Alligator mississippiensis: one gene and its partner. The protein of the gene in region 1 purifies or fractionates together with the protein of each later gene. This does not show direct contact. Links are inferred from orthologs where the notes say so. Each region holds a gene or a part of one and is shown on either strand. Other genes may lie near its edges.

Region 1 (7,468 bases):
CATCTTTGGGGCGGGGGGATAGGATAGATTGAGAAGAGAACATAACGCTGCATTGTAGGCCAGTAGTGTGTGTTGAAGCCCACTCGGCTTTACCAACACCCCTTAATCCTGACCTATAACCTGGATTCTTCTGGCCCCAAGCTTCTTGTAGGATAAGAATAATGGTGGCTTTTACCAAAAAATGTACACAGAGAAATCCTAGACCTATCAACATTGAACATGAAAACTCATATTGATTTCAGTGGTTCATGGAGTGCACACCCAGAGATTTCTGCGGTACCCCTAGGGACTAAAACGAGAACAAGCTATCTTCCATTCTAGGGATGTATCTGCTGCATTCCTCTTATGGAAGTGGGGATATCAGGTTGTACGGGAGTGAGTGACTAAAAGGAAGTGGTCTGAGAGCTTGGGGCGGTTTGTGCTCTGCTGACCAAGTGATAGATTGCTCCTAACATTTTATGAAAATATGTTTCATGTGTTTGTCTTATTTCTGTTTGCTATGTGATGCCATTTGCTGCACCTCTACAAGGGTTAAATTCAAGACAAGGTTAGTTGCAGATACACAGGAAAGAGTTTGACAGCTTCCCTCCCCACCCTTTACCCAATATTCAAAGGATAATGCAGATGTTGCTGGCTTTGAAGTTATAACTTCAACCTCTGATCTCAACGGGCTGCCTGGGCACGGATGTGTGTATGTGTGTGCACATGTTCCAGCATGTAACCACAGTGGGGAGCAAAGCAGAAAATAACGAAAGAAAGATCTTTGGATGGATATGTAGATAGCCCCAAAATGACAAAGTCAGGCAAGAACTGCTGGCAGTTGACCAACCTGCAGTCTTCTTGAGATGAGGTTTCTTTAATAATGGTCTACTCAGGGCAATAGTTAAGTTAGGAGTGTAGATGTGCATCCCAGCTCTTCCTACTGGTACAATGAATCAATATCTTGTTTTTCAAAAACTATTCTGAATATTCACAACTGGCCACAGGACCCCAAGGACAACTTGAAGTTGCTGAGCTCCGGTGGGTCTTGCTGAGTAGCCATTGCAACTTCATGGGATGTTGTAGCCTTGGGATCCACTCTGCAGTCAGGAAGATTGCAGGATTCCACACCTGGATGAATGAAGTCAAGGGTCTATCACTTGAGAAGGATACATTCATTTAGACAGGAGAGGGGACAGAGCTGCAGCTAACCCTGAACTGTGGCAGAGAGTATCAGAAAAATAGTATGTACGTAAGTTTGAGGGGTGGGTTTGTGCATCTTTCTGACCACGTAAATGATAGCAGAACATAGAAGAGACAATAGCAGAGCTCTACACGTTCAATTGTGATGATGCATTTGCACGTATTTCAACAGACTGAGGCAAGGTTATAAAATTACATTGAAATCTCCAGGGCCCACATAACAATGGCAACAAAAGACTTAAATGTTCAGAATTCAGATAAGTATTCTAAAATGCAGGTGCTTATCTAAGTCTATACAAACAGTGTAAATGAGCTACATGCTTATAAACCATATTCATAGAGGAGTACATTATTCCACAAATAATCCCGCTGAAGGCAATGGGATTGTTTATGACTGAAGGCAATGGGATTGTTTATGGTACCAGGGAGCTAAACTGGAGTAAAATACAAGAAGTCAGTCTAGATGCAGAGGGAATATGTCCTGTTAGGTCCTATTCTAGGCAGATATTGTGGAGTTTCCCAACTGTTTGAAAGCAAAGCCCATTTCAGGCAAATGACAGCAATTGTGCCCCACTATGTGGTGTTAATGGCAGTCCAGAATGAGCAATCACTCATCATGGATTTGGTATATCTTCAAAGTATACCTGCACACATCGATAAGCAGTGACATAGCTAATGCTGACTGAAATCAGAACAAGTGACCTCTGCATCAACATCCATGGAAATGAACAGGCAATGTTGAACTACTAGTTATTATTTCAGGCTCTCTGCACACAGACAGGTATCACCGCACAAGTTATGCACAAGTTGTATTTTGAAGGTTTCCTCCTCAGCCATAACAAAAAGGCTGTATCCAGATATGCAGGCATGTGTGTTTGTGGCACCACAAACTGCACACAGGGAATGTTAGAACGTGACCCGCACTGCAAATTTGCAGTGCATGGCCAAAATTTGCTACCAGGAAATCCCAGCAGCAAAAAAAGCACTGGGAGAAAAAGCAGCGTGGCATACGCAACAGGAGCATGCACCAGAAGACACGGAAGCTCAGTCCTCCAGGGAAATGCTCTGGCTGCTGATAAAGAGCATATTCACTCCTGAAGTTGTGCCCCGGCTCTTTCAGCATGCCAGGAGCCGGGAGGAAACAGCAAGGGCAGTTTGCCTGAAGCGGGACAATCTGTCCCTCACCAAAGCAGGGGTATGTGCTGCGGCAAAAAGTTTGTGCGGCTACTATTTTTGCCGCTGCAAGCGCAGGCCCCTGAACATCTGGATGCAGCCAAAGAGGCTTAATTTTCAAAAAACAAAGAAAAGAAAAATGAAAGCTAAGATGCTGCCAAACAACTTGGATGCTTATCTGCACTATCCCCACAGCTAAACCTCTGTGACTGCCCTGGGAGCACACTTCCTACAGCAAAATGATGCGATAGCTAAAGCATCAACTCTCAACAGAGAGTCAAGGTTCTGGCTTATTTAACTACTGACAATGAGTGTACAAGTAGTCATGCCAATAAAGATTGTTGCACAATTTTTTTAAACTAAAATCATGTGGGTGACAGCAACAGGTTGGCATGGGCAGGGAGACGGGCTGCGAGGGTGAGTGCTGTTCTGTGTTCTGTACACTGCATGAAGGAAGGAGGAGATGCTGTGTGGGTAAGACGGTAGGGGAGAAAAAGCGAGTGAAATAGGTCATGGCATGGATAAGAGGAAGAGGTGGAGGGGAAGTGGTGACTGTGGAATATGATAAAGAGAAATAAGTCTCTATTCTAGGCTGTATCTGTTAAACCACAACAGATGGTCTATGCCCTTGCAAACAGCATTATATCAAAGGCAAACAGCACTGTATCAAAAGTGTCTGGCTGTGTGTGATAGTGGCACTTGCTTTAGCAGGGAGTCTTAGCTACACAAAACTGAGTGTGTCATTAGTGTTTCCTTTATGTTAGCATCCAAGAGTACAACCAAACCTGGGATCTGTTCGGTCCTAAGCTATACCAGAGACACCCCTCAGCCCCCCCAAAAAATGATGAGCGGAACTCATAGAGACAAGGTATTATGGAAGACAAGGGTTTAGCAGGACTCATACAAATACTGGTCATTTTAACTCTGCAAACATTGGGGCTACAGTAGTTGAGACCAGCTAACAGGGTCACACGTGCTGTTTTTGGAGACACAGCTTGTAGCACACACCATGGGCAACTTGAATCCTCCCTACATGTGTTTTGTCTAATGTTGTTATTTTCCTTGGCTAAGGAAACAACATACATCATTTTAATTCTTATATTCTTGCAAATTCATTTCTGACTTTGGCCCTTAAGAGCCCACAAGAGCTGACATTCGCTCATGATTTGAACTCGTTCCCCAGGAGGTCTTCCTGTGACGACAGCCCGGCTCTGCCACCGATCCCTCCTTAAACCTTCCCTGTCCCTTCTCTCCTCGCAACACGCTCTGTTAATAATAATAAATAATATTTACTTCATGGTCAGGGACGGGTCCCATAATGTCATAATGACACGTTGAGAATGATTCAGTGTCGTCTTGCACTCGAATACACCAATTTCCTCTTCTTTTTATGAAAACAAAATACCAAGGGCTGTGGCGAGGAGGCCAGCGGTGCACATGGGAGCGGAGGCAGAGGTCCCTGGCTTTGTAGGGACGGGGGCAAATTGCCCCAGGTGCCCCCCTCCCCTCTGGGCAGCCTGGCATCATGGAGTGGGGAGGATGCACCCCAAAATCAATCAACATCCAGCGAGAGGTGGAAAGCAGCCTGTGCCTCTTCATCGCCATGCCCCCCTTCACCTGCAAATATCCGTTAGGGGACGAGGGGAGCGTGCTCCCAACAGGGCGCCCACCACCTCCCAGCCACCCCGCGGGCACGGCTCCGTCTCAGTCGACGGCCCCGGCACCGTGGGGCCTGGTCCAGGCTGTGGAGCCAGGTCTTAGCAAAACTGGGGGAGCCGTTTGGTGAGCGTCATCTGGACCCGCACGGACATGTCCCCCCGCTGATACCCTGAAACCCCCCTGCAACTGCTTGCAAAGCTTGGCCTGGCCATTTTGGGTGGGAGGGAGGTGCCTGAAGCCATGTCCCTACGACAGCCTGGCCCTGGACGGGAACAAAGAGCACACCCCCAACCCGGCCTGAGAGGGACACCGCGCCCCCCAGCGCCTTGTGTAAGGCGGCCGGGTGCGGCACCCCTGAGAGCAGTCCGCAGCCCGTGCCCTGCCCGCGACCGCACAGGCGGGGCGGGGCGGGGCGGGGCAAGGGGATGTGACGCGGCGGTGCGGTGCATTGTGGGGCTCGCGCTGCTGCCTGTGGCGGGGGGGCAGTGGCGGAGCCGGGAGAGCGGCGGGCGGCGGGAGACATATTGGTGCGGCGCCGCGCGGTGAGTGCGGGGGGCAGCGCGGCGCGGGGCGGGCGGGGGCGCTGGGCCGCGGGCCGCCGACACCGCGGGGCGAGGGGAGCGCCGGGGTCGAGCGGGCGCGCGGCGGCGGCGGCGGTGCGTCCGGGAGCGCCGGCCCCGACACACACACACACACTCCCCCTTCCCCGTCACACACACACACACACCCACCCTTCCCCCTCCCCGTCTCACACACACACACACACACACACACTCTTCCCGTCTCACACACGCGTACCCTTCCCCTCCCTGTCACAAACACACTCTCCCCCTCTCTCTCTCTCTCTCACACACTCACACACACTCCCCCTCCCTGTCACACACACACACACACTCCCCCTTTCCCATCACACACACACACATACACACCCTTCCCTGTCTCACACACACACTCCCTCTTCCCCTGTCTCTCACACACGTACCCTTCCCCTCCCTGTCACACTCACACACACTCCCCCTTCCCCTGTCACACTCACACACACACACTCCCCCTTCCCCTGTCACACTCACACACACACACTCCCCCTTCCCCTGTCACACTCACACACACACACTCCCCCTTCCCCTGTCACACTCACACACACACACTCCCCCTTCCCCTGTCACACACATGCGCACACCCCCCACATACCCTTCCCCCTCCCCATCACACACACACACACAGACACGCACATTTCCCCGTCCTCCTGTCACACACCCCTTTCCCCTTCCCCCATCTCACACACCTTCCCCATACACTTCCCCCTCCCTGTCACACACACACACACACACCCTTCCCCCCTCCCCCGTCTCTCACACTCACACGCACACACACTTCCCCCCCCTCCTTCCCCCCTCAGGTCATTGGCCAGGAGAAGATGATGTGGAGCGACGCAGGGAGCCGGGCTGCGAGGCAGCAGCAGGAGACATTGTCGCTCCCGTCACAGAGCAGGGGCCAGAGTTGGCTGCTTGCATAAAGGAAAGGGAAGCAGGAGATCCTGCCAGCCAGGACCACCTGCCAGCCCCCTGCCCAGTGGCCTGTCAGTGGCAAACTGAGGGCTGCAGCCTTTTTCGGTGGGGAAGACCAAACCTGTCTGTAGGGAGAGGGGCCGAGCATGTTTCGGTAAAGCTGTCACTTCTTCTAAAGCCTGCGCGGTGCCAGCCTGCAGGGGTTGTGCAAGCCGTGCTGAGCATGCCTGGGTGTGGGTGTTCTTGCTACACCCGGGCTGCAAGCCTGCAGGTTAATGCAGGCTTTTCAGACAACCGTGCAAAGCAGAAGTGCTTGGGTTTCACTGGGGATGGGCACATGAAGAAAGTGGCGGGATCAAGTACCCCCTTTTCATGCTTTGCATCTTCCCATAATTTGCGGAGGGGTTCAGCGTGATCTTTAGAAGTAAGAAAAGGAGTAGTTCAGTGTGTTCTTTAGAAGCAGGAGTCCCCACGCTGACATTTGAATCTGAAGTGGACAGATAGGAAGAGATGTGGTTCAGTGACGCCGGTCTACATCTGAAGTACCCCCATTGGTGTTGGTGGGCAGGAGATGATGGCTGTTGAATTGTGTAACAGCTGATGATTTCATGCTCTGACCTTCAGAACAAATTCCCTGAGATTCAGTGTGGCTGTCACTTAGCAACAGGTGTGTAGGGAACTTTGCAGAGGGAGCACCTCCTCCTTCCTAAGGGTTTCCTAGGAATAAACCAGCCCAAGAGCAGGAGAATCTCATTAGGGAAGCAGCACCTGGGTTCTGGTAACCATCCTGGAGACAGGCATAAACAAGAGGATTACTATTTCTCCGACTGTCATGTTTCTGCTATTTGAAATGCCGTTGTTCACAGATGGGTTGGACTGAGTGGTCCTTAAACCATACCTGATATTTGTTTGTTTAAAGAGTTAAAAAAAGGAAGTGTCTGCAGTTTAGAGCTAAATTTTAATTCCAAGTTTGTTTGTTGTGCTAGGGTGCAGTTAAGGCCACTTGAGTTCCTATAACGTGTCTTTATTTAGATATAAATTATGTATACTTCTGTTTTGCCAGTAAAGCCAAATGCAGATTGTACATTCTGGACCAAATGCAGCTGCCTGTTTACTGTAATGTAACTGAGAGCGTATCTGATCTAGGGACATAAGCAGTGGAAGATCTTGAAAGAGTTCCTCATTTTAGCTTTGGGTTAGCAGAAGTTAAGCTTTGGGTTGTAACGATCAAAGTTAAGAAAGGAAATCAAACCCAAAATGTTCATATCGGGCTCCTTAAAATTATCGTAGTCCTTTGGACAAATTCCTTTGGACATGGGACTTCTGTACCAAGCTTTCTCTCTGCAGCACAGGTAGAAAACTGCCATTTCAGAATCAGAGTTTAGATTTAAATTTCTCTCTCAAAATTAGCAGTTGAGGCTGGTTTTTGTGCTACTGCCTAAAAGCCCTTTTTGGAGTCAGAGGTCCATTGTCCTGTGCTTGGCTACTGTGCCACTTGGGGGAAGGAAAACTTGTTCCCCTTCTTTTGCCCAGCCCACTTTGGCAGATGATAGGTGTGAGTCCCTGGTTATACACCATCTTTCCCATTCCCACTTTGGAGAGAGTGAAGTCCAGAGTTCTTGCATTTCAACTGGGAAAGGAGTATAGTAAGAATCACATTTTGCCTGGCCTCTGCGCCAGGCAGGTTTTGTATCTTCTGTTTTCTCGTTTGTGCACCTGAACACAGCCAGTCAGCAGTGATGTTTATTTGAGGTTTCATTCTTCAGCTTGATTTCACCTTGGAAGCATCCACATTGCCTCTTTACTGTATTTTTTGCCTGCTTCCAAAATGTCAAACATTGTGGAGCAATTTTTGAATCATTCTTTCAGGGTAACACATTTTTTTATTATTATTTTGTAGTCTCTGATTAAATGCTTCAGTGATTTAAAGCCATTTCTCTCTAATT
Region 2 (7,268 bases), on another chromosome or scaffold:
TTATGCCACATTACAGACCCACACCCCCAAAAAACCTCTGCTTTGTCACTAGCTGCAGCCATATCTCAAAGTAGAGAGGACAGCTGTGAAATAGCTGACAAGGCAGAAATTTAAACATTTTTGTACTTCCTTGTAAGAGCCATAGCATCAGCTACCAATAATCCTGATGTCAGGCAATAGGGGTGGAGTTGGCTCACATGTACTGTACTCACTCCTAGCCAAGCAGGAAGCACTGTATGGCATCCAATCAACAAGTGTTCTAGGCCTGCCTTAAAAAAAGTGGAATCTTTCAAACTAAAGGGATTCCTCCACTGATTCTGCCTGGCTCCTCCAGACAGGGATACTATCAGAGGCCCTTTACTGCAGAAATTGGTAGTGAAATTATTAGAGACACGATCAGAAGCCCATATTTGTTAAAAAAAACTTTCTTCACGTTTAAAAAAAAAGTTCTACTTTGAGCCTACCAGTGTTTAATTTTGCTTTACACTATTGTATCCCTTTCTCCACGAGATGCCTGTAATTTAAGAATAAATAAAGACATGCTATTAGTTTGCCCCTATATAAATGATCAGAATTGCTTGCACTTCTGGCATTTTAAAATGTTTTTAAGGCCAAATGCAGTGCTGAGATGTCTGACTCATAGCATATAACAATTCAATACTCTGTAAATTCTTTATGTAATACTTGATTCATGCATCAAAAAACAGGCATGTTTCACTGGTGGGTTGGACCCAATCCTGCTTCTATGAAAATTCATATGATTTTGTCAAAGGGAACAGGACCAAACCAGAAAAATGATGAATAAAGAAATAAAAATGTTTAGAATAATCTAAAGAAATGTATACTATCCAAATCAGATTTTTTTTCTGATTTGGATTTTGTTTCCATTGTTATATAATTTAAACATTTTGAACATTAACATGATTTTCAAATGCTTTAATTTAGATGGTTTCATCAAGAAATATACTAAAATGCATGAAATAACTTTGCAAAATATCAATTTAATCATTCAAATGATATTCTATAAATTATGAATTATATCTTTTGTATCTGACATCTTCTTTTCCTTTCTTGGAGAAGAACATTTAGTTAAAAAGACCTTCTTCCATTATGAAAATAAGTCAGAAACAGAAAGCCACTTGGGAGGTTTTGCTCAGTGAGAATGGAAAGTCTACAAGCAGCTCTTTGCAACTTTAAACACCTTGGAGCAGAAAAAACAACTGCCAACACTCAGGCTGTTTGCAGGAGACTGATGATCAGACAGTCTGCTTTTTAAGAGTTATTTTCTGATTAGATTTACACATCAAGGCAACACAATTCAACTAAAATGGAAAGAGTATTTCTTTTTAAAAAAGTACACAACCCCCACTCCCACCAAAAAAACCCAGTCCTTTCAGAGCGTTTGATCTTTGATTTCCTAATTGGAACTAGTTAACTCCAAACAGGATACATCTACATATATGCTTTACTGTGCAGTAAACTGTCATTGTTTACATATGCACGGCAATTGGGCCAGTGTAGACTAATTTACAGAGCCGCTGGATAGTCGTCAGACAGAGATACTATCCAACAGTGGAGTAAATTACTGCGCTTAACTGCATGTGTAGACAGTGTCGTCAGTATTAGTTTGCTCTGGCTCACATTGCACCAGAGTTTATTCAGTCGCATTAATTGTACGTGTAGACATGCCCACAGTTCCGGGCACAAACAACTTTCCACTGAAGTGCAGACATCTGAGATGAGGATCTGTTAACAGTTTAATATTAATTTCTCAGTAATAAAATTAACTAAACCAATTACAATAAGTTATTTTTAACATTATTTGTTAGGACCATTTTATGCTTCCTCACTGAAAACAAACTAATGGTCTCAAATTCTAAATAGCAAAGAACTGGGTGGCCATCTTAAATTTGGCAGCCATTTTGGGGTAGTTTTAAATAGCTTTATATCCAGAATTGATCAATAGATCCCATTTTAGAAATGTGCCAATTTTGGTAAATACAATCACAAACGGGAATCTTTTGAAATTATCATTTTTTTTCTGCTGGAATTAAGAAAGGGATAGGAGAATTTGTAACTGCTATGTTTCTTTATTTGCAAAGGAAGATGTTACAATAAAAATGAACTATTAACATTGACTCAATGTAAGGATCAGAAAACAAAGGAGACAGAGCTATAGTTCTATCAGGTCAGAAGATTTTCTTTAAGTTTTGTGATATTTTAGATTTTTGTTGAAACACAGGTTGCTAGAATTAAGAGACAAATACATTTCTAGTCTTTATAGTTGCTGGGGAAAGGTTGCAAATTTGAAGTGAACCCTAAAGACTCAGTAATGGGAAAACAAAAAACACCCAGAATGTATTATTGAAAAAATGGTGTTTCACTGATGTAATTATTTGGGAGAGGGGTAACTCATGGTTGTTTGAATGTGGCTGTTGTTTTTACAGATAAATACGTTATGGCAGGACCAATGAGCCTCGATCATATTCGGGATCCCTTGTGCTAATTGTGGTACAAAGACAACACAGACACCTGGTTCTCTGACACCAAAGAACTTCCAATATAAGATGAGACAACAGGTAAATACAGATAGAGAAACAGATGCAAAAGTACAAGGAAATGACCCCAGTCAGCAATAGGCAGTGATTTCTGCATGCTTATTTGCCTAAATGATATTTTTAGGTATAATGGCCAAAGACAGTTTTCAGAAAAGACTTGAAGAACTTAGAGGAGCCTCTTATAAGTCTGAGTTACAGCCTAGGAGAAAGCATGCACATTTCTGATTGAGAATGTAACATGAAATTTAACAGGAAACTCTGCCAATGAAACCAGGCCAATGAGTCTTGGGAGCTGAGGTCTGACAATGACAAAGAGCTAACAGGTAATATGGGGATGGGCTATGAATAACCATGAAAATGCAGACAAGTGGCTTTTGCGTGGTCCAGCTAATAAAGTTGAGCTGGTAGAGGGATGTAAAAAAGGTGACATGGCCAAAATGCTGAGCTGGTAAAATCATATTTACCCTAGTTTTGAACTGGCATGAGTGGGAAAAAAAACCCTTTTTCCTTAGAAGGCCAAGGAAAAGGCTTAGGTAGTAAGCAAGAGTGTGGGATGATGACAGCCTGAGTGAGAAGGCCGCGTAGACAGACAGGACAGCCTTTTTTTGTGGGGATGCTGTAGAGAAAGCAACAGGAAAACTTTAAGCATGGCCTCCACTTGACAGTGTGGCCAAGACCGAATAGACAGCAGCCCACAAATTAGAGGCCTGAGAGGAAGGCTGATGTCAGTGGCATTAGGTTTTGGGTAATGCTGCAAGATGGGGCATTACTAAAAGCCCTGGATAAAAGCTGTTTTGCGAAACGTGGCATCCTGTTAAGTGCAGCAAGCTGCTTGAGGGTTTGTCAACATCTTTATTAGCAAACAAGGGGCCTGTTGGGAATTTCGCGACCGTCCGGGGCTGCACTGTCAGCTTGGATGTGGAGAAAAACACTACCGAGGATGCGAAGGGTCTTTGGGAAAGGGAGGGGCGAGGAGCCCAGGCTGCTCCCGGCCCCGCTCTGCGCTAGGGACAGTTTTGAACTGGGCTTGAGACTCGTCCCCGAGGCCGGCTCCCGGCAGGTGTCAGCCGGGGCGGGGCTTCCAGCGAGCCGGGGCTGAGCCCGTGGGGAAAGGGCAGCAGCAGGGACTGCGGCAGTGGAGCCGCTCGGGTCGCAACAGGTTGGCAGGAGGCGCCGGGGGCACACAGGCAGCCCAGCCAAGCCCGCCCCCCGCTTGTGCCCCTCCCGCGCGCGCCGCTGAGGCGCGACGGTTAGAACCGTTACGGCTCCCACTTTCGAACTGATTCAAACTCGGCAGCGCCGAGCAAGGGCAGCCCCTTCCCTCCGTGACGCAAATGACAGTTTCAAGGTCCCCCCCGCGCCCCAACCCCTCTCCTCCCCCCCGCGCGCGCCCACGGCCGGCGTGGAGCGGGGCCGGTGTAGGGGGGAGGCTTGAAACTCCCCCTCCCCGCGCTGAGCGCGAGAACAAAGGGCTCCCCCGCCCCCCTCCCTCCCGCACGTGGGGAGCGCTGACCCCGCCCGCCGCCGCCGCGGATTGGCTCCTGCGCACCGTCCTCCTCTCGCCGCGGCCGGCCAATCGGGGCGGCGCTTGGTGGTCGCCAATGAGCGCGACGCGGATTGGGCCGCCGGGCTTTGGCGCTCGGTCCGCCCGGGAGGGTGAATCCGGCGGCCGGAGGCAGCGGCGGGCGTTCGCGGGAGCCGGCGGCGGGTGAGGAGGCTGCACGTCAGCGGAGCTGGGGGCTCTTTATAACCGGCGCCCCCTTTGTGGAGGTGGAGGCCGCCCCCCGGGTGACAGCGCCCTTTGTCTCCCGCGGGCACGGGGTGGGGGCTCGGGATCCCGTCCGAAGGGGCCCCCGGGGAGCACCCCGCCTCCGGGCTCGGCGGGGCCGCGGCAGCCTCGTGCGCTGCCCGCAGCCGGAAGCCGCCGCTTAGCCCAGGCGGCCCCCGTGGTCGCTGCTTCCCCTCCCCCCGCCTGCCCGCCCGCCAGCTCCGGTCGCTATTGTGATGCACGCGCCGCCTCCCCCGCCCCCTGCCAGCGCCTCTGGGGGAAGTGCGGGGCAAATGCGGCCGCGTGCGACCGGCTCGGGAGCCGGCGGGGACCTGCTGTGAGCCCGGCCCCTTGGCCATGGCGGGAAAGCTGTCGAGGCTGAGCCGAGCATGGGCTGTTCCCAGCCCTCTGTTTGCTCTATTTTCCTTTTCTGAGTCTCCGCCATAGGTGTCAGCAAAGGGGTTGGGGAGCATCCCCCAACTTGGGGCAAATGATTCATGCCCAGGGAAGGTGGCGGAGGTGGAGGGCTGATTCACGGGCGCCTGGTTCTGACTGGAAAGACTTAGTGGGGTGGGCGGGCAGGCGGACTGGCAGTGTCAGCTTGTCAGGGGAAGGGCTGGAGGCTTTTGTTCTGGGGGCTCTGCTATGCAGCCGGTTGGTGCCCCAGCCCCACAACCCCCTGCCACTAGGAAGCTGGAGTTTAGCTTTTTGTTTTTCTCCCCTCTCCCAAGGGAAACAGGGGAGCAGGAATCCTTTTTTGATGACCCCAAGTTACAATTGTCGTCTTTCGCAGAAAAGGATTTGTATGGGGGGTGCTGTGGGGATTGGCCGTAAGTTTTGAGACCTAAACCTGTGCGGCGAGTTCTCATTTGATTTCCGAATCGGGGGTTTTCTTCTGTTCCCAGGGTTTAGGACTTTCCTGGAACTTGCCTGTCACTTGTAACAGTTCATTAAAAGCTGCTCTTTTTCTTTGTCCCAAGTGTCCATATCCAGCTGGGAGCTCCTGGGATGTTTATTTGTGGTAACCAGAAAGCATGTTGTGAAGGGTGAGTACATGTACGCAGTGTTCTAAAAGTACCTGCCATTTGGTCTGTCATGATTTGAATACTTAGGACCTTATGAAGATCGGTGATACGGACAGTATATCTCATGCTTTTTTTTTTTCTGAAGTAGTTTGATGCGGACAAACGTAGAACTTTTGGTTTAAACATTCTGTATTTGTGCAAGACTGAATGTTAAACTGAGTCAGATTTATTTATTTATTTATTTATTTATTTATTTATTGTGTTTGTTTGCTTCCTGCCCAAAAAGACCACCTACTGTTTGGTTGCTGTGGAGAGGATTATGAAAAGATAGTTTGTGAAAATATCCCCCCCAATAGTTATGGGGTATTGGCAGAGGTTTCTTTTAAAAGCATTCTTTAAAACTTAGCATGAGGTATCAACAGCTACATTTTCTGATGCATTTCAGGATCCTAATTTAGCATAATAGGATATATGCAAGGTTTGGTTTCTTTATACAGATTTTAAAATATAGTTGTATTCTGAAATGTGACAGACACTTTGGGACTGCCTGCTGTGGCAATGACTTGTAGATTAAATTTGCTCAGTTTACAAATTGTTTTCTTAATGGGCTGTAGACTGAGATCGAAATCGGAGTAACTTTGCCTCTCATTAGAATTACTAAAGACTCTTAAATGGAATTTAGGTAGCAATTTTGTTGAAGGTTTGTGTATCAGCCTAGAATCCAGTTTGCTCGTATAACTGGATCCAGCACTAACAAGGCTATAATGTAGAAAGTATATCCTTGTGCTTGTGCTAATGTTTCTATATTTGGGGAAGCTGCTACTTAGTAAGCTAAGGGATGAATTTGCAGTAACCTAGGTACTCTGCAATAAATGCTTGTAGGGATGTTCTTAATGTACATTAAGAGTACATTTGCGGTAGAAAGTGTGTGTGGACAGCCAATGTATGCAGTAACTTCTCTGTACTGTAAATTAGAAAGCACTGTCTTGACTGTCATGAGCTCTTGGACATTGTCTAAGCAGGGGTCAGCAACGTTTTTGGCCAGAGGTTCCAGAAAACACCCGAACCTCCACCCACACCTTGACTTGGCATGCCAGAGGCGTGGGACCCATGAGTGGTCTGATCCTCATTGCTGGTGGTAGCTGCACATGCGCCTCTGGGTGGACAGCGTGGGAGGTGCTGGGGTTGCGCTGCCCCGGCTCCTTCCCTGCCATGCAATGTGAGGCATGTGTGCCCCCACCAGTGGCACAGAGCTGGTGCTGGGGCTCTGATTGCGGCCTGCTTGCCACCTGCTGTAGCTGCCCAGAGCCTGGGCTAGCTGTCAGGCAGTCGGAAGGCTGAAAATTGTGGTATTGGGCTCTGCGCCACTGTGTCTGGTGGCGATGGCTGCATGTACACCTCTGGGCATGCAGCTGGGAAGGGGTCTAGACTGCACAACCCCAGCCCCTCCCCTGCTGTCTGCCCAGAGGTGTGTGCAGAGCTGCTGCTGCCACCACTGAGCCAATGGTGGGGCTGCAGATCACAGAGCAGCTGTTTGTTGCCTCCCAGCTGCCTGCCATTGCCAGCCTGGACTCCAGACAGCTGCAGCAGATGGTGGGGCAGCTGCAGGCAGTTGCGCTAGGCTCCGCAGCCTTAGCAGTGGTGGTTGAACACATGCCTCTGGGCAGATGGCAAGGGAGGGCCAGGCCTGTGTTGCCCCAAGCCCCTTCCCAGCCATTCACCTAGAGGTGCTTGCACAGCTGTCCTACCCATGTTAGCTGCATGGGGCTCCATAACCCCAGCACTCTAGTTTACAGCATCCTGGCTGCAGTTAGCCCAGGCTGTGGGCAGCTGCTGCCTACCACTAAGCCTGGGCTGACTCCAGCAGGGCTTGCAGCTTCCTGGCCACTTGCTACAAGCAGCCCGGGCTCTGTAGCT

Evidence for each region. Proteins that work in one complex are often made in the same cells at the same time.
Region 2: the proteins of core histone macro-H2A.1 (region 1) and EZH2 purify together in Homo sapiens (affinity purification with mass spectrometry; 3 studies listed by BioGRID and IntAct, with this or other methods). This does not show direct contact. The link is inferred for Alligator mississippiensis from reciprocal best matches to the Homo sapiens genes MACROH2A1 and EZH2.

The regions. Positions count from the first base shown.
Region 1 is NC_081832.1:70,965,818-70,973,285, reverse strand, and holds the start of core histone macro-H2A.1, read left to right. Parts: upstream 1-4,463; 5' UTR 4,464-4,556; intron 4,557-7,468. UniProt on the Homo sapiens protein: Variant histone H2A which replaces conventional H2A in a subset of nucleosomes where it represses transcription. Nucleosomes wrap and compact DNA into chromatin, limiting DNA accessibility to the cellular machineries which require DNA as a template.
Region 2 is NC_081828.1:117,667,124-117,674,391, forward strand, and holds the start of EZH2 (histone-lysine N-methyltransferase EZH2), read left to right. Parts: upstream 1-4,162; 5' UTR 4,163-4,266; intron 4,267-4,308; exon of another isoform or gene 4,309-4,328; intron 4,329-5,300; exon of another isoform or gene 5,301-5,306; 5' UTR 5,307-5,334; coding exon 5,335-5,372; intron 5,373-7,268. UniProt on the Homo sapiens protein: Polycomb group (PcG) protein. Catalytic subunit of the PRC2/EED-EZH2 complex, which methylates 'Lys-9' (H3K9me) and 'Lys-27' (H3K27me) of histone H3, leading to transcriptional repression of the affected target gene.